7 linked regions of the Bombyx mori genome follow. The main gene of each other region encodes a partner of the protein of the gene in region 2 in a complex. Links are inferred from orthologs where the notes say so. Each region holds a gene or a part of one and is shown on either strand. Other genes may lie near its edges. The genes, in order: mediator of RNA polymerase II transcription subunit 9, mediator of RNA polymerase II transcription subunit 18, mediator of RNA polymerase II transcription subunit 21, mediator of RNA polymerase II transcription subunit 23, mediator of RNA polymerase II transcription subunit 7, mediator of RNA polymerase II transcription subunit 1 and mediator of RNA polymerase II transcription subunit 16.

The links.
Region 1: mediator of RNA polymerase II transcription subunit 18 (region 2) and mediator of RNA polymerase II transcription subunit 9 share a complex: the UniProt entries of both Drosophila melanogaster proteins name them as parts of the mediator complex. The link is inferred for Bombyx mori from reciprocal best matches to the Drosophila melanogaster genes MED18 and MED9.
Region 3: mediator of RNA polymerase II transcription subunit 18 (region 2) and mediator of RNA polymerase II transcription subunit 21 share a complex: the UniProt entries of both Drosophila melanogaster proteins name them as parts of the mediator complex. The link is inferred for Bombyx mori from reciprocal best matches to the Drosophila melanogaster genes MED18 and MED21.
Region 4: mediator of RNA polymerase II transcription subunit 18 (region 2) and mediator of RNA polymerase II transcription subunit 23 share a complex: the UniProt entries of both Drosophila melanogaster proteins name them as parts of the mediator complex. The link is inferred for Bombyx mori from reciprocal best matches to the Drosophila melanogaster genes MED18 and MED23.
Region 5: mediator of RNA polymerase II transcription subunit 18 (region 2) and mediator of RNA polymerase II transcription subunit 7 share a complex: the UniProt entries of both Drosophila melanogaster proteins name them as parts of the mediator complex. The link is inferred for Bombyx mori from reciprocal best matches to the Drosophila melanogaster genes MED18 and MED7.
Region 6: mediator of RNA polymerase II transcription subunit 18 (region 2) and mediator of RNA polymerase II transcription subunit 1 share a complex: the UniProt entries of both Drosophila melanogaster proteins name them as parts of the mediator complex. The link is inferred for Bombyx mori from reciprocal best matches to the Drosophila melanogaster genes MED18 and MED1.
Region 7: mediator of RNA polymerase II transcription subunit 18 (region 2) and mediator of RNA polymerase II transcription subunit 16 share a complex: the UniProt entries of both Drosophila melanogaster proteins name them as parts of the mediator complex. The link is inferred for Bombyx mori from reciprocal best matches to the Drosophila melanogaster genes MED18 and MED16.

What each region holds. Positions count from the first base shown.
Region 1 is NC_085116.1:15,850,822-15,854,385, reverse strand, and holds mediator of RNA polymerase II transcription subunit 9, read right to left. Parts: upstream 2,137-3,564; 5' UTR 1,860-2,136; coding exon 1,756-1,859; intron 1,673-1,755; coding exon 1,567-1,672; intron 1,377-1,566; coding exon 1,236-1,376; 3' UTR 873-1,235; downstream 1-872. UniProt on the Drosophila melanogaster protein: Component of the Mediator complex, a coactivator involved in the regulated transcription of nearly all RNA polymerase II-dependent genes.
Region 2 is NC_085121.1:5,596,549-5,601,205, forward strand, and holds the start of mediator of RNA polymerase II transcription subunit 18, read right to left. Parts: upstream 2,975-4,657; 5' UTR 2,656-2,974; coding exon 2,563-2,655; intron 2,124-2,562; coding exon 1,989-2,123; intron 1,704-1,988; coding exon 1,499-1,703; intron 1,229-1,498; coding exon 1,116-1,228; intron 1-1,115. Other genes in the region: exosome complex component RRP4, read left to right, coding at 3,946-4,070, 4,144-4,381, 4,463-4,597. UniProt on the Drosophila melanogaster protein: Component of the Mediator complex, a coactivator involved in the regulated transcription of nearly all RNA polymerase II-dependent genes.
Region 3 is NC_085122.1:11,557,543-11,562,045, reverse strand, and holds the start of mediator of RNA polymerase II transcription subunit 21, read left to right. Parts: upstream 1-1,524; 5' UTR 1,525-2,413; coding exon 2,414-2,455; intron 2,456-2,533; coding exon 2,534-2,812; intron 2,813-3,601; coding exon 3,602-3,727; 3' UTR 3,728-4,503. UniProt on the Drosophila melanogaster protein: Component of the Mediator complex, a coactivator involved in the regulated transcription of nearly all RNA polymerase II-dependent genes.
Region 4 is NC_085107.1:8,842,323-8,846,948, forward strand, and holds the start of mediator of RNA polymerase II transcription subunit 23, read right to left. Parts: upstream 2,880-4,626; 5' UTR 2,199-2,879; coding exon 2,076-2,198; intron 1-2,075. UniProt on the Drosophila melanogaster protein: Component of the Mediator complex, a coactivator involved in the regulated transcription of nearly all RNA polymerase II-dependent genes.
Region 5 is NC_085119.1:10,080,837-10,085,515, reverse strand, and holds the start of mediator of RNA polymerase II transcription subunit 7, read right to left. Parts: upstream 3,238-4,679; 5' UTR 3,038-3,237; coding exon 2,852-3,037; intron 2,780-2,851; coding exon 2,511-2,779; intron 38-2,510; coding exon 1-37. UniProt on the Drosophila melanogaster protein: Component of the Mediator complex, a coactivator involved in the regulated transcription of nearly all RNA polymerase II-dependent genes.
Region 6 is NC_085114.1:6,968,214-6,972,208, reverse strand, and holds part of mediator of RNA polymerase II transcription subunit 1, read right to left. Parts: intron 3,878-3,995; coding exon 3,643-3,877; intron 2,823-3,642; coding exon 2,647-2,822; intron 1-2,646. UniProt on the Drosophila melanogaster protein: Component of the Mediator complex, a coactivator involved in the regulated transcription of nearly all RNA polymerase II-dependent genes.
Region 7 is NC_085108.1:243,133-247,127, reverse strand, and holds the end of mediator of RNA polymerase II transcription subunit 16, read right to left. Parts: intron 3,924-3,995; coding exon 3,779-3,923; intron 3,703-3,778; coding exon 3,566-3,702; intron 3,370-3,565; coding exon 3,221-3,369; intron 2,705-3,220; coding exon 2,601-2,704; intron 1,828-2,600; coding exon 1,727-1,827; intron 1,000-1,726; coding exon 859-999; intron 725-858; coding exon 667-724; 3' UTR 617-666; downstream 1-616. UniProt on the Drosophila melanogaster protein: Component of the Mediator complex, a coactivator involved in the regulated transcription of nearly all RNA polymerase II-dependent genes.

The sequences.
Region 1 (3,564 bases), on a different chromosome or scaffold from region 2:
CTAATTTCTGTGAAATAGTGGCTGTAAATTTAACGTATCTGAATTCTTTCTTTAAATATTAAAAAAAATATATTAATATTTGTCCACAGAGGACAGTTATAATTAGGACTTCTAGAAGTTTGCTAGATACATTATCATCGAAATTATATTATTCAATATACTAATACTGTGCAATCGCCTTTAAGAATGTAATTCAATCGATAAATAACTTTACAAATATTCGGAGAAGAATCTGTATTAAATGTAAAACAACTATATTTTACTTTTAATACAAAACTATTGCTCTAAAATGACTGGCTGGAAAGTGGCACATACTATTCAAATTAATCTAAAATCTATATTGATCTTTTTATCTAACTTAAAGGTTTTTCTAGTGATTGTTGCATAGTACAATTTAGTAGTTTTACTACCAAGGGTAGAACTCCTGTCGTTTTCTGGGGACGTAGTGACACTGATTAATCTAGACAGCCTCAAGCCATACCGCTAATCCACCTGTCACAATGGGTCGGCATATTTTCGCAAGTTAAATCACTAATAACCTCGAGGTTCTTATAACACTAATTAAAACTCAAGTATATATTTTTACAGCACTAAGCTTAATCTTTTAGGGTCACTTAAAATATTTGAACACTTAAAAATAAAAATTAAAGTTAATGAGATCAGAGTTTTGAATCATCATTGCCTTAACTCTGAAAACCTTATAATCGCAATAAAATTAGTGAAGCTAGCTGCTTTCTAAAAGTAAATATATTTTCAATATTTTGACATTTACAATGAATACCATTGCAATATTGTGATTTTTTCTTAGAATTAAGTAAAGTTTATATTTTTATTGATTTGTTCAGAGTGAGTGAAATAAAAATAGCTCTAACTATGTTACAGTTTTTTATTATCTAATTTAGTAGTTATATTATGTAAAGGACACTACTGATAGTGAATTACAATCAACAGCAACTAATCCATGGTTAGCCAAAAACATCCAAGGAACTATTATTATTTTTTCAGTTGTTTTTTTGCATCCTGTACTCCTTCCTTCAAATTTGCACTGAACCTTTTTAAAAACTCTATAAATTTATTAACTTTCTGTGGATCAACATCAGAGAGCTTTTCCTTCCCTCTGTAAAATACTGAGACAGCTAACTGAGCTGCTCTTCGTACAGGGTAGGACTCTGCAATCTTCTGTACAATTCGTTCATTATTGGCTAAGTATTTAAGCAGCGCACGTAGAGGCATCTTCACTTGAATGATGTCTCAAATGAGCACATATTCCGATACTTCTGTAAGAGTTCACGCTTTAATCTCAGCTGAGTGCGGAGCAGTTCAAATTGCTTCAGCTGGTCGTGTTTGTTGAATTCTATACCTGGGAGCCTCCTGATCTGAAATGAGTGATATATTATTGCAGATAATTGTGTACTGGTTGATGATATATTATGGCAGATACTTGTGTATGAGTTCATGATAAATTTGATTCCTCAAAATACAAAAATTATGCTGACTTAGCATATTATTTTTACATTACAAATGTTAAATACCAAGTATGTTTCCAGTATTTGAAAGTAATCTCACCTGAGCTTTAGCTATTTCTAGCCTCTTTTGTAATTCAAGAACTCTATGACTGCACTCGTGGGACTCGCGTATTTTCGACGCGTTGTCGTGAAAATCTCTCTCCACGCTGTAATAAAAACATTTAAAGCACCAGAAAATACAAAATGAACTTGAGCAAATCTAGTTTGTCTCAAATAATACGCAAAATACCTTCGTATTATATCGTATACAATCGGTAAAAAGTCTACATCTACATCCTCAACAGTCAGGGGACTGTAGTTCGTCTGTTCTGAATGATCTGTGTTGTTTTCCATTGTACAAATTTTAAGCACAATTTTTCACTTGCTTATTATGTAACAGATTTTATTATACGTACGTTGTTTATTAATTTATAAATTTATTAGATTATGGTTATTAAACACATAAACCTAGGTACGTAAAAAAGTAGGTAGATTCTTTACCATCACAAAACCGAAAACGACAAAAATAATGATGTGTTATTGTGTTATCTATGGACAGCAATGGACTATGGACGAAATCGCGGAGAATAAGTCGAATGTTTGTGTGATCGGTGTTCGACAAGCAAAGGAAATAAAGCTCATACACGAAATTTTTGGAACGAAGTTCTTTACGGCAGGCTTGGAGGAGATAGGGATTTTGCTGCACGTCCGAACTGAAAAAAATGTGATAGTAAAACCGTAAGAAAAAGTCCGTGGAATAAAACCGTTAAATAAGACGTGCGCAGGCGCGACAGTCATATACACAAGCGAGTAGTGTATAATACCTTTCTCTTTTTATGTATATTCTTAGTACGATGGCTATACAGTGTCTAATGTATAGTCTACGTGATGACGGTTATTATTATAATTCGTATAAATAGCTGTTTCTTTGTATATTATTATTATAATTTTTTATAAATCATTGTGAATAAAATAAAGTTGATAACTTTGTAATGTAATTATTATTATATTTTTATCAATAAAAAATAAAATAATAAAAATGTATACCTGAATAATTATTTTCTTTAGACCTCGAATAGAACTTGAAATTAATATTTTTATAATAAGGAACTTCGTTCCTATCCGGTGTCCCACGACACCACACATCTTTTTTTTACAAAGGCTGTAGTAATGTCTGTTAAAGAAAAGTAAAATAAAATGAAAAAAATGTTTGAAATAAAATGAATTTGAATGAAATTATATGACCATCGGTGTTTTATGGGACGAAATAAATTAATCAGTCTGAACAATAGTGAGAGTTTACTCGTCACTTAACTTTTTAGAAACGCTTGAAAAACCAAGTTCAACAACTTGGTTCCATTTTCTTAATCTTATCCACTTTCACGAATACGAAACCGTTGCTATTTATTAAACTTGTAGAAACACTGGATTAAGAAAATAGCACAACTCAGACAAGTTATCTTCTCCTATTTCTGCCAAGATTTTGGAATCGACTAAGAAAATAGAAATTTTTTAAACTACTTACCTATCATTATATTCTGCATAAATTTTAGGCCCGACTCTACGAAAGTTTTAAAATTCTACTAAGTTTATTCACGCTGAAGGTAATTGTTTTTACTCAACTAATTATAATATGTGCTTAGTGATTTTAATTAATTAAAAATATATCAATCAGAGGTGCTACGGTAATAAAATACCCCATTCTTTCTAAATCAAGAAGCTCTGTAGTGATACGTTTTAGTATTGAAATCGCATCAGATTTTAAGAACGCCAAATGGCACTTCGAAACATCAGTAGCAGGCTCTATCCGAATCATTTTCTATGGTTCGTACGTATATTAAAATATGAGTTAAGAGTGTGTTGCTGTGTGTTATTTTGTTTCTGACAGGGTATACGAGGAACGAAGTTTTTTTATTTTTTTATTTTTCTATTTAGTGTTTATTCAGGATTAAATGTGTAACTTAACAATAACGGTGGTTTATTAATAATTTAATATCTGTGAAAGTGCACCAATGTGGGAAAATGAAATAAAGCTGCTGGACGTTGCTTCTCGGGATCG
Region 2 (4,657 bases):
TCCAATGGTGAGTTTAATGTATTAATTAGTCTTTTGTTCTAACAAACCTAAGGGAACCAAAGATATTAAAGAAGGGTAAAAGTCTTCAACAACTGAAATACACTACACATCACATAACATACATGAAATAAAATAAATCCACATTGCTCTACAAACATCAACTACATACATTAATTATATAAAATCTACTTAATACGTACAAATAAGAAGAAAAAAAAACAATTGAAGCTTATTATTGAGCCTTACTTATTCATGGAAACCTGTAGGTTAGGTTACTTATGTTTTTATAGCTTGAAAAAACCAAGCTGTTTACATCAAAACCAAGCCAGCAAATTAAAAATCTCTTCCTTATTTTTAGTTTATTTACAGTAGATTGGGGAGAATAGAGACTAGAGTTAGAATAGGGACAAATCTGGGATGTCACAATACTCTTGTTGGGTTGTTAGATATAACTTTGTTGCACTGAAGATGACTATTATTTAGTGTTTAAGAATATTATATAGTTTAATTCAGATATCAAAACTTTGTATCTCATTAAAGATATAAAAAATTAATTACCTAAAGTTAGGTACCTACCTAAGAACTAAATAGTGCCAGCCTTATCGAAAAACTCTGTTGTCCCCATACATAGCGTATTTTTTTTATTGCCCTTGTAGGCAGACGAGCATACGGCCCACCTGATGCTGAGTGGTTATCGTCGCCCATGGACTTCAGCAATGCCAGGGGCAGAGCCAAGCCGCTGCCTACCGTTGTATACTCTCCACAAGCCTCGTTTGAAGAAGGACAAGTCAATGAGAGAAATAGCCTCATTCAAAGAGAATCGGGTCAAGCAAGTTTTTTAAGGTTTTGTGTATATTTTGTGACTATATGAACTATATAAAATAATGAATCGTATTTAAAAATTTAAACCTTCGGAGCCATTTTAATCTCAATTTTATTGGTATTACCCTAAGAATAAAAGCATTGAAAATTTGTTTTGGAATTGGAAAGGGTCCCCATTTTCCCCAATCTACGGTACTTAAAGATCATATATAATCATCATACTCAAGCAAAACCAGAAAGCGGTATTGTTTGGGAAATTTGACAAATTATTTAATTGGGTGTCAAAAACTTACAGAAAGCTCCACAAGATAGCTCTGTGAGATAGGTTCAGGTGGCATTGAATTTTGAGAAATCTTAAACACTTTTGCTACAGTAATTTTCATACGACCTTTTCTAAACATGTAACCTGAAATTTAGAATTAGAAAAAGCTTAATGTTTTTTATAAAATTACCGTAATTGATTGATTTTAAATGAACCACTGAAAATTATATGCAATTTAATTAAATCCCAAATCTAGGTAATACTTTAAATTGAATTAGTATTTTTGACTATTGGTCTTCTTTGATTCGTCATTATTAACAATAGTGGTATAGTAATAGTGATGATTTAGAATATACTATCAAATACATGTACAATCATATTACTCATAATTGTCATTATAATAAATATTATTACCTTTTACACTGTATTCAAATTCAATTCGGCATCCTAGCTCATTTAAAAATTCAATGAGCATTCCACTGCAGGCTATATCAAGACTGGAACGGACAACTGTTGGCCTATTTTTGTCCCCCAAATCAGGCTGCCCAATGTATCGTAACTGAAATGGCATGTCTCGAGCATCTAATGCTTTACGAACACGCAACATGAGAGGGGGAGCCTGAAATTTAAATTTATTAAAGATGAACTATTAGAACATGAAAGAAAAATATATAGATTCAGGCATGTCTTTATGCTCACGAATTGTACAGTATTAATAGTGATTACCAAATCATTAGCACTTTTCTTGACCAAACAGGTGACAGCCCAGGCAAAATTTAATCAATTTATAATTTAATACAAGTTTTATTGTATTATAATTTTATAACCATTTTATATTCTAGTGTCCTAAAATAATAATAACATTAACAGAAATATTTTAAAAAGTTCTAAGTATTATTATTACCTGATGATGATTAGGATCCCGTAGACTGAAACACACTTCCTGGTCATCAAATGTTTCTGGCCCAGCATCAACATTGTCACAAAGACCACGTAATCGGTGAAGTAAAACTTCTACTGCCGAGTCCAACACTGAGCCCTTAATCAAATTTTAGTGGAATCAAAAATTAAATGTATAATATTCAACAATTAACAAACTTGACTGAATCTTGAGAAAAGTTGCTGCCTGTTGCCTAATTATCATAATTTCCAGCTATGAAATACTGTAAAATTGAAAATCATTAAATGAATTATTTTTATTTATTAAGAACAGCATTGTAGGCATTGTAACTAAGACCTTATCTCATGTTTTTTTGGGCTGCTATTATATGTAAGCTATGTATGTATGGGTTCTGATAATATTTTGAATGTAGTATGTAAACAGATCAAATGGGTCAAAAGAATTGGATACAATAGCTGCAACTATGGTAATTAGTTCTGTTAAGTATGCAATTTATGGAAACTGTAGAAGAATGTAGACTATATTGTAATTATTCTGAAATTTAAAATAGCTGAGCCACTTCAACATCCTGTAGTACCTGAAGTAAGTATTCCTGATTTGGTATAATGTTCGCTTTTAAAGCTTGCGATAAGCTATCTGTAGCTGTTATAGGTGCAGCGTTTGCCGACATTTTATGGAGCTGAAAATCTGAAAACCTACTTCAATAGCAGCTATTTAAAGATTTAAGTTTTGAAGAACTATGTGTGAGCCAAGAAATCATTACACTTATAAACGACTTTTCTGTCTCATAGAGGTGCATTCAGTCTAAATAGTCCATATAACCGAAACTATAAATATTGCGTAAAATAAAAAACTAGGCAATTTTAAAGGAGAAAATAAATTCTAATTTCTAATTAACATAATCTAAATACTCATATTGGAATTTAACAAGGTAGAGATATGTTTGCAATCGCTGTTAGCTTGACAGTTACTAACAATGTTGACATTTAGCCTCATTTAGGTGACATTTTGTAATTTCCTTTTTCAAATACAGGAGAGAGAGGCAATGGTATCGCATCATATTATCATATTGGTACGGCCGTATTTGTTTTTAAACATTTTTTGTCACCAATGATTCTACATGCGAGGAGTGAAATTGTGTGATTTGTTTTATTTTGTCTATTTAGTGTGTCTTCAGGTTTAAACCTGTAATAACGGTTGTTTATTAACTGTTCAATATCTATGAAAGTGCACCAATGTGGGAAAATGAAACCAAGCCGCTGGACGTAACTTCTCGGGATCGTCCAAAAAGGCCAAAATCTCAGTAAATAACCGTCATTTTAGTGAGATTGTATTTCATCCCTTATCATCTGTTCAGTTCTCGTTCAATCACATGAATGAACAATGAGTGTGAAGAGTTAATCATTAATTTCAAACTATAAAAGAATATTATTTATATTTTACAATAAAATTGTATTAAAGTGCTCCAATATATGTTACTAGTAGTATGTAACTACAATTACTTTTTTTTATTTTCATTACATACCTATAATTGTTATATTTTATACATCTATAATTTCAACTATATGATGTATTGGAAATAGGACAGTCTTACAAGCTTCCTCGCAATGTTTTTCTTAATGTTTAAAACACTCGGTATTCAGTGCAGGTAGATACTATAGGAACATAATATTTCGTCGAAAACTCATTGGTTGTACAAAGCACGCCTAAAATTCGAACCCCGTACCCGATATCGGCAATTCGGCACACTAACTATTCACTAGACAATCGAGGCAATTTCATTAATTCAGGAGTTTTTTCAATCGTTCACTTTGTCACAACACTATTTTTATTTCATCAAAACCTGACAACACAGTAAACGTCAGTTGACTTCGTCTAATAAAAAATCCGACTATAGGTCTATGAGTTCGTTGTACACAATTCACAATTAGCAAAGAGGGAGCTTAAAAAAACATTAGAAATGGTCAGTCATGTATCTATAAAACTCGCATCTGAAAGAGTAAATCATTCGGTTGCCTCAAATAATGACCCGCCGCGTTTTTACACTCCTGGCGAAGTCATAACTGGGATACAAGATTTTATGAGGTCGGTATTTTTTGCGAAAACAATATTGTTAAGAATTATTATTACTATAAATTTAATAATTTTGCACTTTAAGAGGCCACGGAACTTACGCAGAAGATGATTGCCTAAAAGCATCTGTTGCTGGGGTTATGCAAAAAGTAAATAAACTTATATGCATTCGCCCATTGAAGAGTCGTTACGTTGGAGAAATAGGCGATGTGGTAGTCGGAAGAGTATTGGAAGTTCAACAGAAAAGATGGAAAGTTGATACCAATTCACGACTTGATTCAATACTTCAACTTTCTTCAGTAAATCTACCTGGCGGAGAATTGGTAAATTAACGCACACTTCCATAATATAAAGCAATCTTCTTGTATCTAATGATAACTATTTATATATTTTTTTAAATCCAGAGAAGGCGTTCAGAAGAGGATGAGCAGATGATGAGAAAACATTTACAGGAAGGTGATTTGATAAGCGCTGAAGTACAGAATGTATTTTCTGATGGTTCGCTCTCATTGCATACAAGAAGTTTGAAATATGGCAAGGTAATCAGATTTTATGAAGCCAATAAAAAATGACTATTCTAAAGTTCAACAAGAATGTTA
Region 3 (4,503 bases), on a different chromosome or scaffold from region 2:
TGCTTGCCCTTCAGAGTGTAAAGCTTTAATGAGGATTGAAAATTTTATTAATTATAGCTAAATCCAATACTTAGCATGATTGTTTGCACTTGATTCTAAATGAAAAGTTAAGCTTTGTGATGCTCTCTAACAAAACTAATTGTGAATTGTTAAAACTATTTCATTGTGTGATTTTTTAAAAGTTTTAGTAAATAGTCATTACTTGTTGCTATGTTTATAACTATATTTATGCATAAAATTTGATAATAAATTGAGAATAGATCTATAATTTTAAGGTATTTGATAATAATTTTGGTACTATAGTGTGAAGCTTTGAAGTTTTCAAACAATTTATCTAAATTGTTTTAAAACATTTTTAATAACAATCACGAGGTTTTGTGTGTGTGTGTTTTTTTTTCTGTGCACAATTTAAAACCTCTGTCTTTGTAAATGTGGCCGCAAACGGGGGTTGCTAGCTGATAAAGATGGAAACCTAGATCCAAAGTAGAGTGAGAGAGTTAATGCGTAACATCGTTTGTCAGACAAGGATGGCGGTAGACAAACTTACCCTATTTAAAAATTAAAAACTAATGCGCATGCGTCGAGTGCTAGTTTATTCAACCAACTGCGCTCACTTTCTTACTTTACAAACGATAATTTAGTTAGGTACTCAAAAAAAAGTGGGAATTTTTATTTGCTATATTATTATGCTAATGAATTATATTCATATTGCTGTTATTAGTAAAGTTTTGTACTTAATTTATAAAAAAATTAGATGCTATGTTGGGTATGTACATACAGTACTCAAAAATCTAATTTAGCAATTTTCATTGTTGACTTCTAAGCAATTTAAATTCGATAACGGCGGATTTCTATCATAAAAATGTGATACCGCAAATGCTTAGTTATTTTTAAAGAGTGCAGGTTAGGCTGAAAGCTATCTAGTCTTTTATTGTTAATTCGTACGAGAATAGCGCGAAAGCGGTGATGGAAGTTTTTTTTCCTACCTATTCGGTAGCCTACACACACTGCGACGCAACTTCTTGATGAATTTTAGTTGTTACAAAAATGACGCGAGGATTTGATATTTACTTATTGCGCGACAGGAGGTGTTTGTTGATTGTAAAAAAAATGGCTTACACGAAACGAAAAGAAAAACGGAAAACTTTTACAAATTAGTAAAGTTCTGCCAATTTTACTATAGCACAGCTGCCTTAGATTGAATTAGACTAATAGTTGTAGTAGTCATTAAACAATAACATGTTTGAACACACAACCTCGTTATATCCGTAATGTGAATCCAGCTTATTGTTAATGTTGTTTCATTGAATAACTAAAATTTAAAAATAATCGTTTAAGGTCTGAAATGAAAGAGGTTCATTAATGGTTTTTTATTATACTTAAATACTCAATAATTGTGATGTTTTTCTAGTCGGTAATATTATGGTTACCTATTGTGTACACTGCTTACATTAAATAAAGGAAATTTTGAAATTCATTTCATTGCCTATAATTAAAGTTTTTTAATTTTTTTTATATGTAGATGGGTGGAAGAGCTCATAGTCCACCTGGTGTTAAGTGATACCGGAGCCCATAGATATCTATAACGTAAATACCGTCACCCACCTTGAGATATGAGTTCTAAGGTATACTTACAACGGCTGCCCCACCCTTCAAACCGAAACGTCAAGTGGTCCTGTTATTAGCAACATTACTATTTAGCTTATAATGTATATAACGGAGAAATGGTTTTCTAAATTTTAATACTGATGAGAATGATTGCAGTTCTAAATGTATTTTTTTATTGCCCTTGTAGGCAGACGAGCATACGGCCCACCTGATGGTAAGTGGTTACCATCGCCCATGGACTTCAGCAATGCCAGGGACAGCCAAGTCGCTGCCTACCGTTAAGTACTTTCCGCAAGCCTCGTTTGAAGAAGAATACGTCATAGCGCTCGGAAAACACCGTGGAGCGGAGCTCATTCCAAAGCCGTATGGTACGTGGCAAAAAAGATCTCTGGCTTAAAATGGCGTTACTATTCCAAATTAGGTACTGTTTTGCTGCACGCCAAAGTTAAACGATCGTAATATAATTGTTTCCTTACAGAACTTCAAGTTATTTGGATTTTAGATTAATGTCTCAAATGAATCAACTTTATTTCATTTCGCTCCATATGATCATTTTTCATGAAAGAGAATAGAATGTACATACAAAAGACTAGGATGTATGGTGTGTGATATCTTCGCCTTTCCACCTGGAAATATTGGAAATATTACTTAAAAACGTCATAACGTTCAACTTCAAATAACTTCATTCAAAAGGTAGTTTTACAAATTGATACTGTAGGTAGCTTAAAACCACCTTCCATAGAAAATATCCATATAAGGATTAAATTTTAACAGTGGTTAGTAGGATAAATATCTGAATTGAATAATGGCTGATCGCTTAACTCAGCTTCAAGATACCATAAACCAAGTACGTATGACAAAAATGAACATTTCGTTTTAATTGACATTAATACATTTCACATACGTTGTATTTATTTATTTGTAGCAAGCTGAGAATTTTTGTAACAGCATCGGAATTCTACAGCAGTTCTCGTTGCCTAGCAAGTTCCCAGGCTTCGAACGCGGTGGTTCTCAGACTCCTCAACAACCGCAGAGTCAAGAGGATTATGCGGTTTTATTCGCGGCTCTAATTTCTCGTTGTGCTAAGGACATTGACACGCTCATCGAGTCTTTGCCCAGTGAAGAGAGTTCAACTGAGCTGCAAGTGCAAAGCCTTCGGCGACTTGAGGCCGAGAACAAGGAGGCTGCTGAGCAACTTGAAGAGGTAAGGGCTGTCAACTCTCCGTGCCCAATACACGTGCAATTTATCTCAAAGGACACTAGCTTTCTTTTTTATCATAAATTGGGAATTATCATGTAACTAAACCATTAAAATAATGATTTTAAAGAAGTAATTATGCCATGCAGTTTGCTTTTGTATTGCCATTTGAATGTAAAATCAAATATTCCAAGAAAGTATTTGTATTACAGACATTGTATTTTGTCTATAGTCAACTTTTGTAATGTAAACAAGCACCAATATTTAAACATAAATTAGTACCTACTTAAGATAAAATTGACAGTAATAGCGATTTGGTTAAAGTTGTTTCCTTAACTTCATTTTGAGATGGCACACTGGAATTGTATCAGCGAATATTACTTTATTCAATTTTCAAAACCCATAGGGTGTTTACAGATTAATCTCATGTTTTAGATTGCCATGACTACAAAAACTTATAGTATTTGAAATATTGGAAGTAATCATATCGACGCTTGAAAGGCAAACGTGACTAAGCGACAATGCGTGAACTTCACAGTAGACTAATTTCAAGATGAAATACCTGAAAAAATTCTATTTTAACGAAACTAGCTGTAGGATTGAAATGATTTTAATAGACCTAGAAATATATTTTTTTTGGCATTGAATATGGTTATTGCCTATCATGTATAAAGCAGTTATTGTCGCTTAGTCACGTTTGCCTTTCAAGCGTCGATATGAAAATAATTACACATGACTTACTCTCTTTTCATTAGCGTTAATAATAATGTCAGACAATATTTAATAATTCTACAGGTAGTCCGTCAAGGAGAGATTCTTCTAGAGAAGATTCAGGGTGCTCTGAGTGATATTGCTCAGTGCCAGTTGGACATGCAGAATCCGGCTCTGATCCTCAACAAGGATGTGAAACCACAGTTATAGGGATGGGGTCTGGGGTTCTACCAACGGTAGTTTCCTCTACAAAAGGATACGTTAAAACAAGAATACACGGAAGTATTTTAGTATTATATGAATTTTAAAATTTTGTGTTTGAAATCTTAATGCTTAATGACGAAGATTTTTTTTTGTTGTTTGCAAATTTGTTACAGGGCTTTCATGCCGGTGAAAACTAAATTGTCTGAATGTCATATTTTTGAAACTATAATAAGAAAAACATTGGTATGACATATATCATTTTAAGTAATCATTTGTTATAATTGAATAGTTAAGTATACATGACTTGTTTATTCATTATTTTCTATTATTACGTAAGGCATACTTTAAGTCTGAAAGGGTAGGTACCGCCACTCTGCCTATACATACTGTAAAGCCGTTGTTTTCCAGTTTTGAAGCACAGGTTAGTTGTTGATGATGATTTTGAGATGAGTGGCGGCAATGACTGGGATCTCTGGGCTATGTTAATCTCTTAATATTAGATGAACTCGTTCATCTATATACATAAAATAAAATGAACACAAGGAAAAAGTAAAGGTGATTGTATTCAATGATGAACATGAGTTTTAATTAAATTAAAAAATATTTATGTTTTATGTTTAATTAATTTAATTAAGTTATTATGTTTAATTAAAGGTTTAATTTTTCTTTTTGTTGTACGCCCTGTATATGCTGGAATGGACTCGAATCTAAATATTAATATACTTTAGAGATTGGAAATAGAAAACTATAATCTTGAAATGAAAAAAAATCTATATGATTGA
Region 4 (4,626 bases), on a different chromosome or scaffold from region 2:
TTATAATATCAAGTTCATTCTATATCACCAGAGTGGATGTAATTTCCTCCAGATTGACACCCAAAAGCCTCTAATCATCAGAAGCAGGAACATTAGAGGGGCTTGTATCTGAGATGGTAGTAGAACACATGTGTCCCAAATCACCAAGTCACATACAGCTGATATTGATCTTAAACCCCTTTTCCAATTTCATTATATGGAAGTGTCTTATTTTTTCCACTGTTATTCTATAAATTCACAACTCGAGTGATTATGTATGTTAATATGTAATGTAACATAATTAAAATATCTATAAAGGCTATTTTCACTAAGGACACAACAATGGAGAAATGAGCGCTTTAGTTACTGTAATTAATTTCCATTTGTCTCTTGAGCATATAGGAGAACTTTAATTGTTGCCAATCTCTAATAATGTAGGGGACACAGTATGGGAAGATATTATAATGCCCAGATGCAAATTTCTTAATCACACTTCTAAAATAATTGAAAATTGTTGGTAAATGAAAGGACCCAAAATTGACTTAAATTATGACCAGTAATTTTAATGTTTGAATTTGATAACAGTAAGAATGAAAATAGGTAATTTATTTATGTATTTATATAATCTATTTATGTGTTTGGTAAATTTATCTATTTATGTATTTATAATAGTTACTTAATACTGTTTGTAAAATATTGTTACATTTTTTATTGATTTACAGTTTTTATCAGTAAAAAGCTGCAAGTTTTGAGACAAGACAAGTACTGTTTAAATAAACGTGCAGATAACTGTAAACAATATATATAAAAATAAGTTAGATAATTTTTGTTACCAATTAAGGAAACAACAAATATATTTAAATTTTTTTACTGCTGAATTAAAATAATTGACCTTTTTAAATTTATGTTATTTCATGAAGGTTAACAAGGATGATCACTAATTTAGAATTGTTTACATTTTTCAGTACTTTTATGAAAACTGTATACAACACTTACATAACACAAACATATACATCAATTATAAGCACATAAAATATTTCAAGAACATCAGAGGTTTCAAGAATATACAAAATTTGCAAAAACGAAAATGTGTTCATAATGCAAATTATGCTTAAATATTAAATAAGACTAAAAATTCTAAACTGAGTAATTTAAAAAAGCTATTTTAATATTCTCATTCATTGTTTTTTTATTGTAAGAAGTTTGTAAAAGATTTTCAAACAGCATTTTAAATATTATTTCAATATACTGAATGTACTATTAATATGTTTTATTTAATATTGCTGCCAATTCACAGTTTGGTGTTCTGACACTGCAAATTTTATTTATCAATAGTTTTATACTTTAAGATGTCTTAGTTGATTAAAAAACAAGGTTTCTAGTTTAATCCCTTTACAAATTTTATCATTTGCTACAGTGCTATGTACAATTTACATTCTGTGATAAATCTAGCCCATCGGTCAAAGTTTAATTCAGAATAAAACAAATATTTGAGATATTAATTTATCTTAAAAACTGAAACAAATGCATAAGGTTAACTTGGCAACAGTAAAATAGAGTTGACAATTCCATAGTTTTAATGAAATTTGAAATATTCTGTTATTTTCATAACATAATTGCTTTTTTATTCATTTGATACTTAGTCCTTACGTTCCATGTTAGACTAAATTTATTACACATTGTAAACACGCTAGATGCTTTAAACCTAAACATAAATGAAGCAATCAACCTTCACATCAAGCCAGCTACATACAATAAGCACGTGGACACAAATATTAATAAACGCAGAACAGTACATATTCAGCGCGTAATGAATGAGATGAAATTAATTTTTATTCATAAAACCTCTGATCTCGAAGTACAACTTACCATCAGCTCATGAGTCCATGTTTGCAACTAAGAAACAAGTTCGATTATTTGTAGGTTTTATTCATGAAAAACAAACAATAGTAAACAACATTTTGTTCATAATTAATGTAGATGATCATGTGAGTAATTTTTTTGTCAGTACCTATTATTTTCACAGATGCAGGGCACAGTAGAACGTTTACCTTTATATTTACCAATATATTATTAACCAAGAAAAATATATTTACCAATATTTCATTCACTATGTTGGCGACTTGCGAATCGGCCATTTCCGTGATTATATTTTCCTCGAACATGCGCTTGGATTGACGGTCACCTTTATACAAAAAACTAGCTAAGCACTGGAGCATCCAAACTACGCTTTCAACAAAACACCGAAAGGTTACAAAGTTATCGGTACATGTCTTTCAGAATAATAATTATGTATAAGATCTTTGACGGAAGAAGTTAACTCAAGAAAGAAATTTTAATTACAAATGCAGCTGTTAGGAATTATGTTCTTCTTAAATTTACATGCCAACGTTAACAAGTAAAAACTGGGATACTTAAACCATCACTACGCGAAATTTAATAAATGACTAAATGCATTGAATAATCTATGCTAAATGTGGACACTGGACAATAAAGGACTTTTTGGCGGGAACGCGAGGAGTGAAGTTGTGTGATTTGTTTTATTTTGTCTATTTAGTGTTTCTTCAGGTTTAAATGTGTAATAACGGTGGTTTATTAACTGTTTAATATCTGTGAAAGTGCACAAATGTGGGAAAATGAAACAAAGCTGCTGGACGTAACTTCTCGGGTTCCTCCAAAAAGTCCACTGAAAAAATCTCAGTAAATGACCACCATTTTACTGCGATTATATTTCATCCCATATCATCTCATTTCATTTAATTTCATCCCAGTTGATTAATGTTTCAAATTAATCATCTTCATTTCATTTCACTCCATATTATCATTTTTCATAAAATTAAGAATATAAGACATGACTTAAAGGTCTTAGTTACCAGGTCATAAAATCTCTTAAAAAAAAAAAAAATGGACAATAAAGTTTGAAATGGACTTTTTGGCGGGAACGCGAGGAGTGAAGTTGTGTCATTTGTTTTATTTTGTCTATTTAGTGTTTCTTCGGGTTTAAATATGTAATAATGGTGGTTTATTAACTGTTTAATATCTATGAAAGTGCACAAATGTGGGAAAATGAAACAAAGCCGCTGGACGTTACTTCTTGGGATCATCTAAAAAGTCCACTGAAAAAATCTCAGTAAATTAGCACCATTTTACTGAGATTATATTTCATCCCATATCATCTCATCTCACTTCATTTGATTTCATCCAAGTTGATTCATGTCTCAAACAAATAATCTTCATTTCATTTCATTATTTTTCATAAAAATAAGAATTCAAAAAAAAAATTAAAATAAGACATGACTTAAAAGTCTTAGTCACCGGGTCATAAAATCCCTTAAAAAAAAGTTTGAACTTTACTCTTTGTATAAAATAATTCCCGGTTTACACTATTCCAGTCCAGTGATCGAATCCAGCACTGGATTGCTTACTGGAAAAATGTAAACTGGCACTGGATGCACTGAATCCAGTTAGCATTCCAGTCCAGTAACTGGATTGGCGGTCTACTTTTGAATTCAGTGCGACCAATCCAGTGCACCTGGATCCAGTGCCATTCCAGTGCTGACACAGTAAGCACGTGTTGGTTGTTTTTGCGGATTACTGGGGCGAATAAATTACTTAAAAATGGTGAAGAAATTATCTGACGATCAAATTTTAAAGCTTCTTATGTTATACGGAGAAAATCCTTGTTTATAGCACATATCATCAGAAGATTATTTAATAAATATATTACACATGTGTCGGTGCAACGTCACTATTTAGTTGACTTAAATAGTTTTCTTTTTCTTTCTTTCTGGCTTTTGTTACTTAGATTTAAATACAACTTTGCCAACGTCGGGTAGTGGAGGTATCAACATAATTTGTTAAGATTTTATGTGGAAGAATAAGCAGACTCGGTTTTTTAATATCACAAATTATATTTTATTCACATGACACAATCTTATTAAGTAGAGAATGTATCCATGGTAACAAGTCAACATTACTAGTGCGGCGACACGCAGCTAGTGCTATATCTCAACATAATTATGCTAAGACCTATTTAGTTTAATTTTTTTTGCATTAAACAGTTAGTAGGAACTACAATTTTATACTATTAGCGTTTATGAAAGATCCAAGCAAGTAGACTACCGTTTTAGTGGGGAAAGTTAATAGGAAGTTCATGTTGATGGGGAGGGGGATTATGTTTGTTGATAAAGTATATAGAGGATCACACTTATTGTTAAGGATACAGTTGAAGGATATATGATCCACAGTACCTTCCTCGGATTCACAGTTGCATATTGCTGTATTTCTTAGTTTGAATTTGAACAGTTGAACAGGTGAGTAAACGTGACCCAGTGGCATTCTGATAATAATGGTACTTTTGTCAAGATTTCTGTACTTAAAAACCCTATTAAAAATAGTTAAAGTAAAATGTTTCATAAATAATACGCATGTCAACAAAAACAACAACTGTTTGAGACGGTATTCAAGAGAATTCATGACTAAGCTACCCCCATTTTCTATTATAAATACGAGTGACTATTGTCGCATAAAATACACCCACCTGCTAGTTAAGGTTATGCTGAAGTGGTCTCTCAAGAACATTAGATTAGGTAGGAAAAACAAAGCACAAAACATTCCGACTCGAGCAGCCAGCTGAGGCAGACCTCT
Region 5 (4,679 bases), on a different chromosome or scaffold from region 2:
TAAAATATCCTGTACCTTGTCTAAGTGTTTCTTGAATCTGAAAGAACAGACTTTATTAGCTCTTATAACTGGATTAGGTTCCATGGATACCAGCATCTTGTCTATTTTTTGCTTCAGAGAATTCACACATTAAACCAAAGTCAAGCAACAATGGTCCGAATGGAAATTTAACTTGTAAGGTAACAGCTGTCCATCCACAAAAACACGACGATAAACAACAAATAATTTTCGAGTTCAATCTTGTGTTATAATATACTAGGCTGCACTAAAAGTATCGGGAATGGAATATTTCTACTGTTCCTGTCATATTAAAATCTTTTTAATTGAAAACTCCTTGGTTTTAAAAATCGAATACCATTTATTTATTTTAAAAAAGATTCTCGGTCTTGTCACGAGGTTTTGTCAAACTTGTTTAGTCGTTGAGAAAATGGAATTGACTCGAGAAAATTCAAGAGCGATGATTTATTATGACTTTCGAAGTGGTTTAACACAAAAACAGTGTGTTGACCGGATGATTTCTGTATTTGGTGATGAAGCCCCATCCAAAACCACAATTTATCGCTGGTTTGCTGAGTTTCAACGTGGACGTGTCAAGCTCAGTGATGATTCCCTTCAAGGTCGTCCAAAAACTGCAGTCACCCAAGAAAACGTTGATGCTGTGCGTAAGCTGATTGAGGAAGATCGACATGTGACATACCGCGAAATTCAGGCAACTTTAGACATTGGCATGAGTCAAATACAAATAATCTTGCATGAACAATTAGGTGTAAAAAAGTTGTTTTCCCGATGGATACCGCATTCGCTCTGTGAAGAGCAAAAAGCGGCTCGCGTTACTTGGTGCGTCAGAACTCTCGAAAGATTCCACGCAGGATCCTCAAATGCTGTATACAACATTGTATCAGGTGACGAATCCTGGATATACGCGTACGAACCCGAAACAAAAAACCAGTCACGAGTTTGGGTGTTCGAAAATGAGTTAAAGCCAACAAAAATTGTTCGTTCACGGAGTGTTGCAAAAAAAATGGTGGCCACGTTTGTCTCCAAAACCGGCCATGTTACGACTATTCCTCTTGAGGGACAAAGAACGGTTAATGCAGAATGGTATGCTAGCATTTGTTTGCCACAGGTCGTTTCTGAACTCCGTAAAGAGAACTGCAACCGCCGCATCATCCTCCATCACGACAATGCGAGTTCTCACACCGCGCACAGAACAAAAGAGTTTTTAGAGCAAGAAAACATAGAATTATTAGACCATCCGCCGTACAGCCCCGACCTAAGCCCTAATGATTTCTATACTTTCCCTAAAATAAAGAATAAATTGCGTGGACAGAGATTTTCATCACCTGAAGAAGCTGTAGACGCCTACAAAACGGCCATTTTGGAGACCCCAACTTCCGAATGGAATGGTTGCTTCAATGATTGGTTCCATCGTATGGAAAAATGTGTCAAATTTCGCGGAGAATACTTCGATAAGCAATAAATACATTTTTAAATAGTAACTTCGTCACTTCGTTAATTCCCGAAATTTTCAGTGCCGCCCTCGTAGTATCAGTAAACAATATCTGCTAATTTCTTTTTTTTTATATTAAAATATTTTTGTATATTACTCAAAACAGTTCAAATTTGGAAATCTCTAAAAAGTGCAGAGGGCAGATTTTGGTTTGAAAAAGATGATATGACATTATGAATACTAAAATTTTTTTATTGAGACAAGTTTAAGGTTTTTTACTGGTGGTGGTAGGACCTCTTGTGAGTCCGCACGGGTGGGTACCACCACCCCGCCTATTTCTGCCGTGAAGCAGTAATGCGTTTCGGTCTGAAGGGTGGGGAAGCCGTTGTGACTATACTGAGACACCTTAGAACTATAACTCAGGGTGTGTGGCGCATTTGCTTTGTAGATGTCTATGGGCTCCAGTAACCACTTAACACCAGGTGGGCTGTGAGCTCATCCACCCACCTAAGCAATAAAAATAAAAAAAAATTAAACTCATTACAAATCTGATTTTCATTATTCTGCTTCAATATCAAACATTGGGAGAACTTAATATGACTTTGTGTTTAACAGCCTATGGTAAGATTAAACACAATAAATTTATTCAGGTTCTACTAATTATAAATAAATTAACATAACATTGATGGGCAAAATGTCTGGGAATCTCAATCATGAAGGTACTGTGGTAACAGATAAAAATGTCTAATCACTAGTGGCACCTAATGTTTCCAACCAGTGAAAATCCAACCAGTGAAATTTAAATCAGACTTTCACATTACCACCCAATTAAAGATCATATTATAATGTTAAAGCCTAAAATAATAAAGGATAAGTCACACACTTAATGGTTATATCATGTGTGTGGCAAAAACATAACTTAAATATTTATGTTGGCATCTTTTTTATTTTGTCATTTGTGATCTGAGATCTATCTTTATTTTCTAGAATGGTTCCTTGGTGTCCAGTATAGATATAGTAGAAACACCAACATATGACAAATTAACGCTATTAATAGTACCTTGCTGCAGTTTCAACCCTCTGTCTTTTCTGCAATTCCATCATTACTCTCAATGTTTCTCTTGCTTGGTGTGGCCTAAATTCATTTAGAAGATGATGTATATGAATAAATAACAAACTTAGGTCTTCTACTTTTTCTGCTCTCTTTGGAGAATCTGGACAATGAACAAGCAAATCCAACAAATCCAGAAAATTTGCCAGCAGTGAATGGTTAAGTTTCTTCAATTCTCTTCTTCGTTCAAAATGCATAGGATACAATCTTCGAAATCCCTGAAGGAATTTTTTACAACGAATTATTTACATAAACATTTGTGTTTGTAAACTAGTTGTTTTAGGACTTACCTGGCTTTCTAACGAACGTATAATAGCATCATCAGCGTTAAAAGAATTACCAAACATTGAATAAGAATCATGAATAGGTCGAGGTGGTAGAGGAGCTCTATTTCTTCTAACATTTTCATCCGTGTAAAAATTTATATATTGCATTGGAGGCAGAGGTAAAGAGCTAACTTGAGCTGTCTCTGACATTGTGAACCGGGAATCCGTACGTACGATTCTAGCAAACACTTAATAAAAACGGAATATGCCTATATTTACAAAAAAAGATTTACATACTCTTAAATATTGTGTTAAATTGAAGAAATTTATTTTAAAACAACTTTACACACTACAGTATGAAATGTATGAATTATTATGAGCTTTGTCTATGCTTTCTAAAAAATAAGTGTTTAATCTATGCTTTAGTATGCTTTTTTTGTTTGATTGGCCTTATGGATAAGCAAAGGGAACATAGCTCATATATTCCAATTTTTGCCACCAAGGTCGAAGGTGTTGTGAAAGTTAAATGAACTTCAATTTAGAGGTGAGTTTATGACAACACCGTAAGTGTGGACAAAATGAAGTGAAGTAATTTTTCGCTAAAATTCTGAGAATGTACTGAGTGTTCAATGAACCTTTAGAAAAAAAAAATCCCGAACTGATTTTTGTCGAAAGATTTTTGATGTTTTATAACCAAAAAGAAATTTCATGTAAACAATTTGGCTTTTATAAATAAAATAAAAAAGATGTTTTATGGGCTTTGTTCCTTTAGCTTTCGCAAGTCGTGGAGACAATTAACTATTAAGGATGTTACAGGAAAGATTGGCAACAAACTTAGGGGTGGGGTGTGTCTATAAAATCATTTAAAATGGTTTCATAAAATGTATCACACAAGAAAATCAATGAGTAACTAAGATCTGTTAAGTGTATTATAACTTTGCAAGATTCTGGTGTCTGGATTGAGCTGGATCAATTGGATTATAGCAGTAGGCTCTCATACAGAGGACAATATTTTAGGTGTGTGGCGCATTTACGTTATAGATGTCTATGGGCTCCAGTAACCACTTAACACCAGGTGGGCTGTGAGCTCGTCCACACATCTCAGCAATAAAAAATAAAAAAAATTAAAAGGCACATCGCGATTGCGATTAAGTGGATACACGAAACTGCAGTTTGACAGTGTGGCGGGTAGCCATCATACAACGCAAGATGATTGACGGATGCCTGAATCTCGCTTACGACATTTTCAAGATCAGCTTGCTTATATACAAGTTCCGAACAACAACATTCGGACCGTCGGTCTACAGAGCAATTATCACCCGCTCGGTGGAAGATCTTCCCTTTATCGTATATCTACAGTAATAGTTGGCCCTACTGCAAAGCATGCTTTCTGTGGCGGATGCCTAAGTTTCGAGCTCTGCCTTATCTTGAAAATGTCGTAAGCGAGATTCAGGCATCCGTCAATCATCTTGCGTTGTATGATGGCTACCCGCCACAGACAGCATGTTTTGCAGTAGCGCCAACTATTAAGACTTGAAAAAATTCAATTATTCGCTAAAGACAATAAAAGTAGTTTTATTTACATTTCATACGTAATTGTATAACCCAAATAAAAAATGAAAAATGAAATAAAATATCTAATTTAGCAGACCTTTGGCAGGAATTCGGGATGTAAGTTTTATGAATTATTTTATTTGATCTGTATATTTTATATAATTTATAAAAAAATTCTTCAGTTTTAATCCAAGTTAAATTTCTTTTCATAATTAGTTCCATTTAATTTTTCATTAAATAAACATGGTGTGAGATAGGTATGTTTAGATACCAAATAATAATAATAATAATAAGAGTA
Region 6 (3,995 bases), on a different chromosome or scaffold from region 2:
AGATAGGACACATTAGTGTGTTCTCGGTCTCCTCTTTGTGCGACTCTGCGTAGCATCCCCACTATCGTCTACTAAACATTGTCCATATGTATGCTCCTGTGTAGTGGGATAGGCAGTATATCTATAACTATATCTTATTTATAAGTTTCATTTCTACCGTATGTGACTTGCACATACACACCCTTTTTTATTGCATATAGGGTACGGTAAACAAATTAACAGCCCACATGTTGTTGGGCGGTTACCAGTGTCGAAAAACATAACGATGTGAATTCCGCCATGCACCATGAGACATGAGGTCGATGTCTCAATTGTACAATATAACTGCAGTCGGTTTAACCTTTCAAATCGGAACGTGTCACTGGTTCTTGGCGAAAATATAATATCCTACAATTGAGGTTTTGCTGACAAGTAAAACGAGCAAAAAAAATAGAGAGAACATTTAGTTTCAAAGAAGTATTAAGTTAAATTGTGGTGCAATTAAATATAGAAAATGTTAGAAAGAGAAAGAGAGAGTGTGTGTGTGTGTGTGTGTGAGAGAGAGAGAGTGAGTGTGTGTGTGAGAGAGAGAGTGAGTGAGTGTGTGAGAGAGAGAGAGAGAGAGAGAGTGAGTGAGTGTGTGAGAGAGAGAGAGAGAGTGAGTGTGTGTGAGAGAGAGAGCAACAGGCAGCGGCTTGGCTCTGCCCCTGGCATTGCTGAAGTCCATGGGCGACGGTAACCACTCACCATTAGGTGGGCCGTATGGTCGTCTGCCTACATGGGCAATAAAAAAAAAGAGACAGAGGAGAAAGAAAGAGAGAGAATTCTTTATAGTAACATCAGGTGGACAAGTATCTTGGGAAACGAATTTCAGGCGGTGTACCTATCGATTGAAATATACTTGGTCTGGCCATAAATACTGTTACAATTAAAAATAAACAAAATATTACATTTGAATTTGGAATCTGTCATTTTTATATGATTGCTCATTGAGTTTTCTCATTTTGGCGCCAATACATAGTACAATATTTTGCGATATTAAAATGGAGTGGGGTGATAAAGAGAACCGAATCGCTGTGATTGCATTACACAAAGTAGGTATGGAGCCAAATGCAATGTTTAAAACTCTCCATACGCTTGGTATTAGTAAAATGTTTGTGTGCCGGGCTATTAATAGGTGCAATGAGACCTCCTCTGTTTGTGACAGAAAAAGATCTGGCCGTCCACGTAGTGTTCGTACGAAAAAGGTGGTCAAAGCAGTAAGGGAAAGAATTCGAAGAAATCCTGTCCGAAAGCAAAAGATTTTATCTCGGAAGATGAAGATAGCACCTAGAACCATGTCGAGTATTTTAAAAGATGACTTAGTACTTGCATGCAGCCTATAACAGACGTACTGGTCATTTCTTAACTGATAATTTAAAAGAGAATAGGGTGGTAAAATCGAAACAACAACTGAAGCGGTAAGCAAAGGGCGGTCATAGAAATTTTTTACAATTGAGCAACATTTTAACAAACAAAATTACTGTATTTCTGCTCAAATCTCTAAGGAAGCTTCCCAATTAGTCGACAGAGTGCAACGTGGGCACTATCCGACTTCAGTGATGGTTTGGTGGGGTATTAGCTATGAAGGAGTGACTGAGCCATACTTTTGTGAAAAAGGTATCAAAACATCGGTACAAGTGTATCAAGATACCATTCTTGAGAAGGTAGTGAAGCCCCTTAACAACACCATGTTCAATAATCAAGAATGGTCCTTCCAGCAAGACTCGGCGCCAGGTCATAAAGCTCGGTCAACGCAGTTTTGGTTGGAAACGAACGTTTCGGACTTCATCAGAGCTGAAGACTGGTCGTCGTCTAGTCCTGATCTTAATCCGCTGGATTATGATTTATGGTCAGTTTTAGAGAGTACGGCTTGCTCTAAACGCCATGATAATTTGGAGTCCCTAAAACAATCCGTACGATTGGCAGTGAAAATGTTTCCCGCGGAAAGAGTGCGTGCTTCTATTGATAACTGGCCTCAACGTTTAAAGAACTGTATTGCAGCCAATGGAGACCACTTCGAATAAGCTTTTTATACTTTAAATTGTTTTATATTTATGTATTAAACTAACACACTGTAAAAGTAATAAATGTTATTACTTGGAGCCTCTGGGTCTGCGGAGGGACTTCGGTTCCCTCTGTATTCTGTACCGTATGTTCCATGGGGAGTGCTCTGAGGAATTGTTCGAGATGATACCGGCATCTCGTTTTTACCATCGCACCGCCCGCCACCGGAGTAGAGTTCATCCATACTACCTGGAGCCACTGCGGTCATCCACAGTGCGTTTCCAGAGATCTTTTTTGCCACGTACCATCCGGCTATGGAATGAGCTCCCCTCCACGGTGTTTCCCGAGCGCTATGACATGTCCTTCTTCAAACGAGGCTTGTGGAGAGTATTAAGCGGTAGGCAGCGGCTTGGCTCTGCCCCTGGCATTGCTGAAGTCCATGGGCGACGGTAACCACTCACCATCAGGTGGGCCGTATGCTCGTCTGCCTACAAGAGCAAAAAAAAAAAATTGCAATAGAATTTTTTTTATTTTTAAAATAATAGTATTTATGGCAAGACTAGGTATATACGAGAGAGAGATCTGTAATGTTATGTATAAGAGTAGGGGAGGCATGGTTACCGGCGTGGTGCGGGTGCGGGTAGAGCGCGCGGTGCGGGTGCGCGGGCTCGTGCTTGAGCTGCTCGCCGCCGGGGTCGAGTCCGCCGACGCCGCAACTAAAATTCGAGTCCAGGGCAGAGTAGCCGCCGTTCATCTGCTTCGCTGCGGCCTCGCGCTCCCATATCTTGACGAGAGACCTGAAACGAGCGAGATAGTATTTAAAAAAAAAAAGCCATGTGACATTTTTTCCTTTTTTTTTTATTGCTTAGATGGGTGGACGAACTCACAGCCCACCTGGTGTTAAGTGGTTACTGGAGCCCATAGACATCCACAACGTAAATGCGCCACTCACCTTGAGATATAAGTTCTAAGGTCTCAACTATAGTTACAGCGGCTGCCCCACCCTTCAAACAGAAACGCATTACTGCTTCACGGCAGAAATAGGCAGGGTGGTGGTACCCACCCGCGCGGACTCACAAGAGGTCCTACCACCAGTAATTACGCAAATTATAATTTTGCGGGTTTCATTTTTATTACACGATGTTATTCCTTCACCGTGGAAATCAATCGTGAACATTTGTTGAGTACGTATTAGAAAAATTGGTACCCACCTGAGATTCGAACACCGGTGCATCGCTCAACACGAATGCACCGGACGTCTTATCTGTTAGGCCACGACGAATTCAGAATTCCTTTGTCCGTCAAGCGATTTCCTGTATATTTTTCTTTAACAGTTATCGAGGAGTTTCAGTGTTAAAAAAAAAAAAAAACATTAGCCAATACGTTTTCATACAAATTATTGGACATTTGATAAAAAAAAATTACGATACATCACGTTGCGCCCGTCAAGCAACTTTAACTATGTCGAAGCTGACTTTTGATCTTTAGCATCGTGTTCTATGAAGAATACAATATTCTAGAATTTCTTATTTTATGTGTGTAGAGTTAGAATCTAACCAATGAAAAAAGCAAAATATAATTGTTTTTTTTTTAATTTGCTTTATAATGATATCTCACCTTAACGTTATTGGTATAGAATGACTCTTTTGCAGCACCCTGGTGATGTAGTCGTCGATGTGGTCTCGAGCCGGACTGTTCAGCGTGTACACAGACGCGCGGGGCGAGGCCGGATCCGACAGTTCAAGTTCGACGGTGGCCATACATTCTTCTAGCGGATGTTCCAACGATATAGAAATGTGCTGCCACGAGAGGGCGCTCACTTCGAACATCAACACCTTTTCGAGTTCGACAGCTGACAAATAAAACATAAACAATATTATTTTTGGTATACAGAGAGAAAAAGAGGTGATTGCCACCACCCTCATAACATCAGGTGCGGCGTTAGGTCACCCATCGGCAATACTCAGCGA
Region 7 (3,995 bases), on a different chromosome or scaffold from region 2:
ACTATAGAGTCCCTCTCTCTTGGAATGCAGTCCTGCTTCGCAGCAACAATACGCTTGTTAGTGGTACCTACCAGTAATTACATAATTTCATAGATTTTTTTGCGACTCCGACTTAAATGCACGATGTTATTGGCGCAAACTTCCTGAAAGTTAACCTAATCCTTCTCTTACTGATGGCCTGGAGGCCTTTTCAGTTTTACCAGGAGGAATGGGATTTGCTAAGTTGCCCAGGCGCCTCCGTGAGGAGACCTAACGACCCAAGGGCAGCTGCTTCGCGTATGAATCGGATCGGAATCGCGACCCGCTGACAAGATCCATTGAGAAACTCAGCAGGCTGACGTATGGCTTAGGTTGCACGTCGAACTCTTCGCCTATTTCAACGAATACGGTTACTAGTCCCTAAGCCTGCTCTTAGTGCTAGAGCTGAAGGCGTCTAATGCGAGAGTCGGGAAGCAGTCAGGGGCGGAAACGATAACAACAGCCGCCTTCTGCGTCACGTTCCAATCGCCATGGAGAGCCCCACGGAACACAGTCAACCGGATAATATGAAGTTGTATACATCATGAGAAGTTCACAGTTCGCTAACGAGCGTTTTAAGAAAATAAAACTAAACAACAACACTTAAACGTTATTTCATTTTATTATTTATCACATTCACTTGCAAGTTTATTTATCGTTTGAATTCATTTCAGTATTTGTGAACAGCGTCCACTTTCCTCCGCATCTGAAAACAGTAACAGTTGGTCAACGGGGTTTAAACTTTCATGACACGAGGGTTGGTTCGCTCTGTTAAATGACAACAAGGGGGCGGCGACTCCCCGAGGTCAAGAGCTCTTCTAGTAGTGGACGCAGACCGACCTGCAGCTGGAGACGAAGCGAGCGTCGAAGGCCCTGTGCGCCGGGTGCCTGGCGGGCAGCGCGGCGGCCAGCGCCCTGCCCCCGCAGCGCGCGCACCCCCGCCAGCGGGCCGGCCTCAACCCTCCTCCGAGGTACATGTACCTGACACGCAACCGGATATTATATATTATCATGTAATACATTTATCAATTTCTTGTTTACATTCTAACAAACTGTACGTTTCTAAAAATACGATCCGCGCATGCAGTACGGCTAAATGTTACAATTTGAAGTTTCTCTTGTTGCGTTGCGTGGTTCAATTAAAACATTTATATTTTATTCCGTTCTAAGTATTTTTAATTTGCTTAAAAAAAAATATTTTTTTTTGTTTTTTATTTATTTATTGCTAGATAGGTGGACGAGCTCACAGCCCACCTGGTGTTAAATGGTTACTGGAGCCCATAGACATTTACAACGTAAATGCACCACCCATCTTGAGATATAAGTTCTAAGGTCTCAGTATAGTTACAACGGCTGCCCCACCCTTCACGAAACGCGTTACTGCTTCACGGCAGAAATAGGCAGGGCGGTGGTATCTACTTGCGCGGACTCACAGATCCTACCACCAGTAATTATGCAAATTATTATTTTGCGGGTTTCATTTTTATTCACGATGTTATTCCTTCACCGTGGAAGGCAGTCGTGAACATTTGTTGAGTACGTATTTCATTAGAAAATAATAGGGAGTGGTTAGAAAAAATTAGTTATATCGCTTTTAGCTATTTACTTCTTTTAACTTTAATTATGTTTATCTATTCGTTATTTGTAATATGTTGTTGTCTGTATACAAATAAGCACAGTGTAGTGGCAACAGCTTCTGAACACTTACCGTATGGAGTCCATGGCTAGAGAGGGTGTAGTTTCACATTGCACGTAGGGGGGCGGCTCCGGCGCATATTTCAATGAATCAGGCTCTACTCCGTACTCCAACTGATAACATTATTTTTACATGTTATTTGAAGAAGGCGATAAACATTCAATCGCTAATAGGGCAGTGTAATTTATATTTTATTTATAATTCATTAGCTTTTATTAACTTAAGATACTCTTTTTCGTTATTTTTTAAAATTTATTTTGATTTTTGATCGTTCACAAGTTTAATCGACTAAATTATTATAGTCGACTATCTATATTGGATCGAGCCCCACACTACTCAACGGTTAAGGTCGGTGCGTCAGTACAAGACTCCTGTACACAAACATTGTACATGACCTCCGCCCGGCCCGCACACTACCGGACGTTTCCTCCTGGACCATTTTTCCCAGCAGCCCCTGTAGCAACCACGCCAGACCTCCGTGGCTACCGAATTTGTTAGGAATATTTTCTAAGTATACAAAAAAATACTACTTTCCTATGCGACCGAATGGTTATTTACATGTTTGAAGTTTAATTTTAATTTTGGCGGGATACTGAAGTTTAGCGAGGCTCTGAGAGAGAGCTCTTTTTTTGCGTCAATTTCTGTTATAAGGGTGAGTGGGTATCTTTTTTAGTTTACTAGTTCACATGATAAAACTATAACCGGCAGAGAGAAAATACAAAATGCATCGGAATACGTAGATACGAAACTCAGAACCAAATTTCTGACTTAATGAATTAATAAAATTGTAGTTTCACAGGTAGCTGAATCCTTGCTACCTCCGCCCCACTGGACCAGGTACGTACATCTATGTACGCCCCCTGGGCCCCGCGGGCACGCAACTTACATAGTGGGGTCCAGGTTTCTGGTGAGGCGCCGAGACACTGACCCGGGGGAGCGCCTCCCACACGCGCGGCCCCGGACATTGAGCCACCAGCGACGCACACTCCTCTATTACATAAAAACAAAAACTAATATGGTCATCATCATCAACGGTCCACGCTCGTCCACCGGTTCGAGCCCCCTGCTCCCCGCGCTGCCGCCGGCCCCCCTGCGTGAGGGGGTCGGACGGTGACAGAGCTCCCAGGACACGCTCCGAGCTTTCAGTGGACTGCTCCGCGGCGGTGCCCGGGGGCACACAGCTTGTGCGGGACAAATATGACGATATATGATTAATGTATTTTTGCATGTCGCTCCAATTATGGTAGAGTTAATTTGTGGTATCGCGACTCAGAGCTAGTAAAGGCGCGTGCGTGTGTGCGTACGTGCGTGTGTGATGTGTGTGCCTGTGTGTGGCGTGCGTACATGGGCAGCGGCTTGGCTCTGCCCCTGGCATTGCTGACGTCCATGAGCGACGGTAACCACTCATCATCAGGTGGGCCGTATGCTCGTCTGCCTATACGACAATAAAAAAATAAAAAAAACATGTGTGCGTGTAGCATGTGCGTGTGACTGCGTGCGTGGTACCGAGCAGGTCCTGCTTGAGCGCGGGCGCGGCGGCGGCGAGGCGGGCCAGGCAGCGCGCGGCGGCGTCGTGCGGCCGGCCGGTGCCCCGGGACAGCGCCAGCACCCTGCGCAGCAGCCACACCGCGCCGTTGTCCGACCACAGCTCGTACCTGCCACAAACACCGCTCTGAGTCCCTCCCGTCAACTGTACTACCCCAGCTGTTGTGAGTATATGTTTGTTGGGCTCCATGAGCAGGACGGACTCACGTGATGTGCAAGGGTTCCGCGGCCGCCCACTATAAGATGTAGCGTAAATGTAATGTGGTTTAATGTTACTAAATGTTGGCGGAGTGTCGAGCGGCTCACCCGTGCGACTGGTGGTGCGGCTGCTGCGAGAGGGACAGCAGCGCGGTGACGGCGATGTCGCCCACCCGCTGCACCGACACGCGCAGCGCCGCCAGCTCCGCGCCCGCCTCCGCCTTCGCTTCTAGCGACGCTATCAACTGTAACGACGAACCAGCTCCGTGTAGTCCACGGACATCGGGACACGACAAGACAGGTGTCGTCCGGTCCACCCACCTTATCCTGCTCGATGTGGTTCTCTTCGCAGTCGCCGTCGGGCCGCTCCTCCAGCTTGAGCGCGGCGGAGGCGGCCGCCCACACGACCTCGCACGTCTGCAGGCACGTCAGCCAGGCGCCGCTGCCCGTCAGCCGGGCCGACAGCCTGCCCTTATACACACTTGTGTTAAATCTCAAGTCTCGTACTCAGTCGGTGACTACTTTTAATGACATTAGC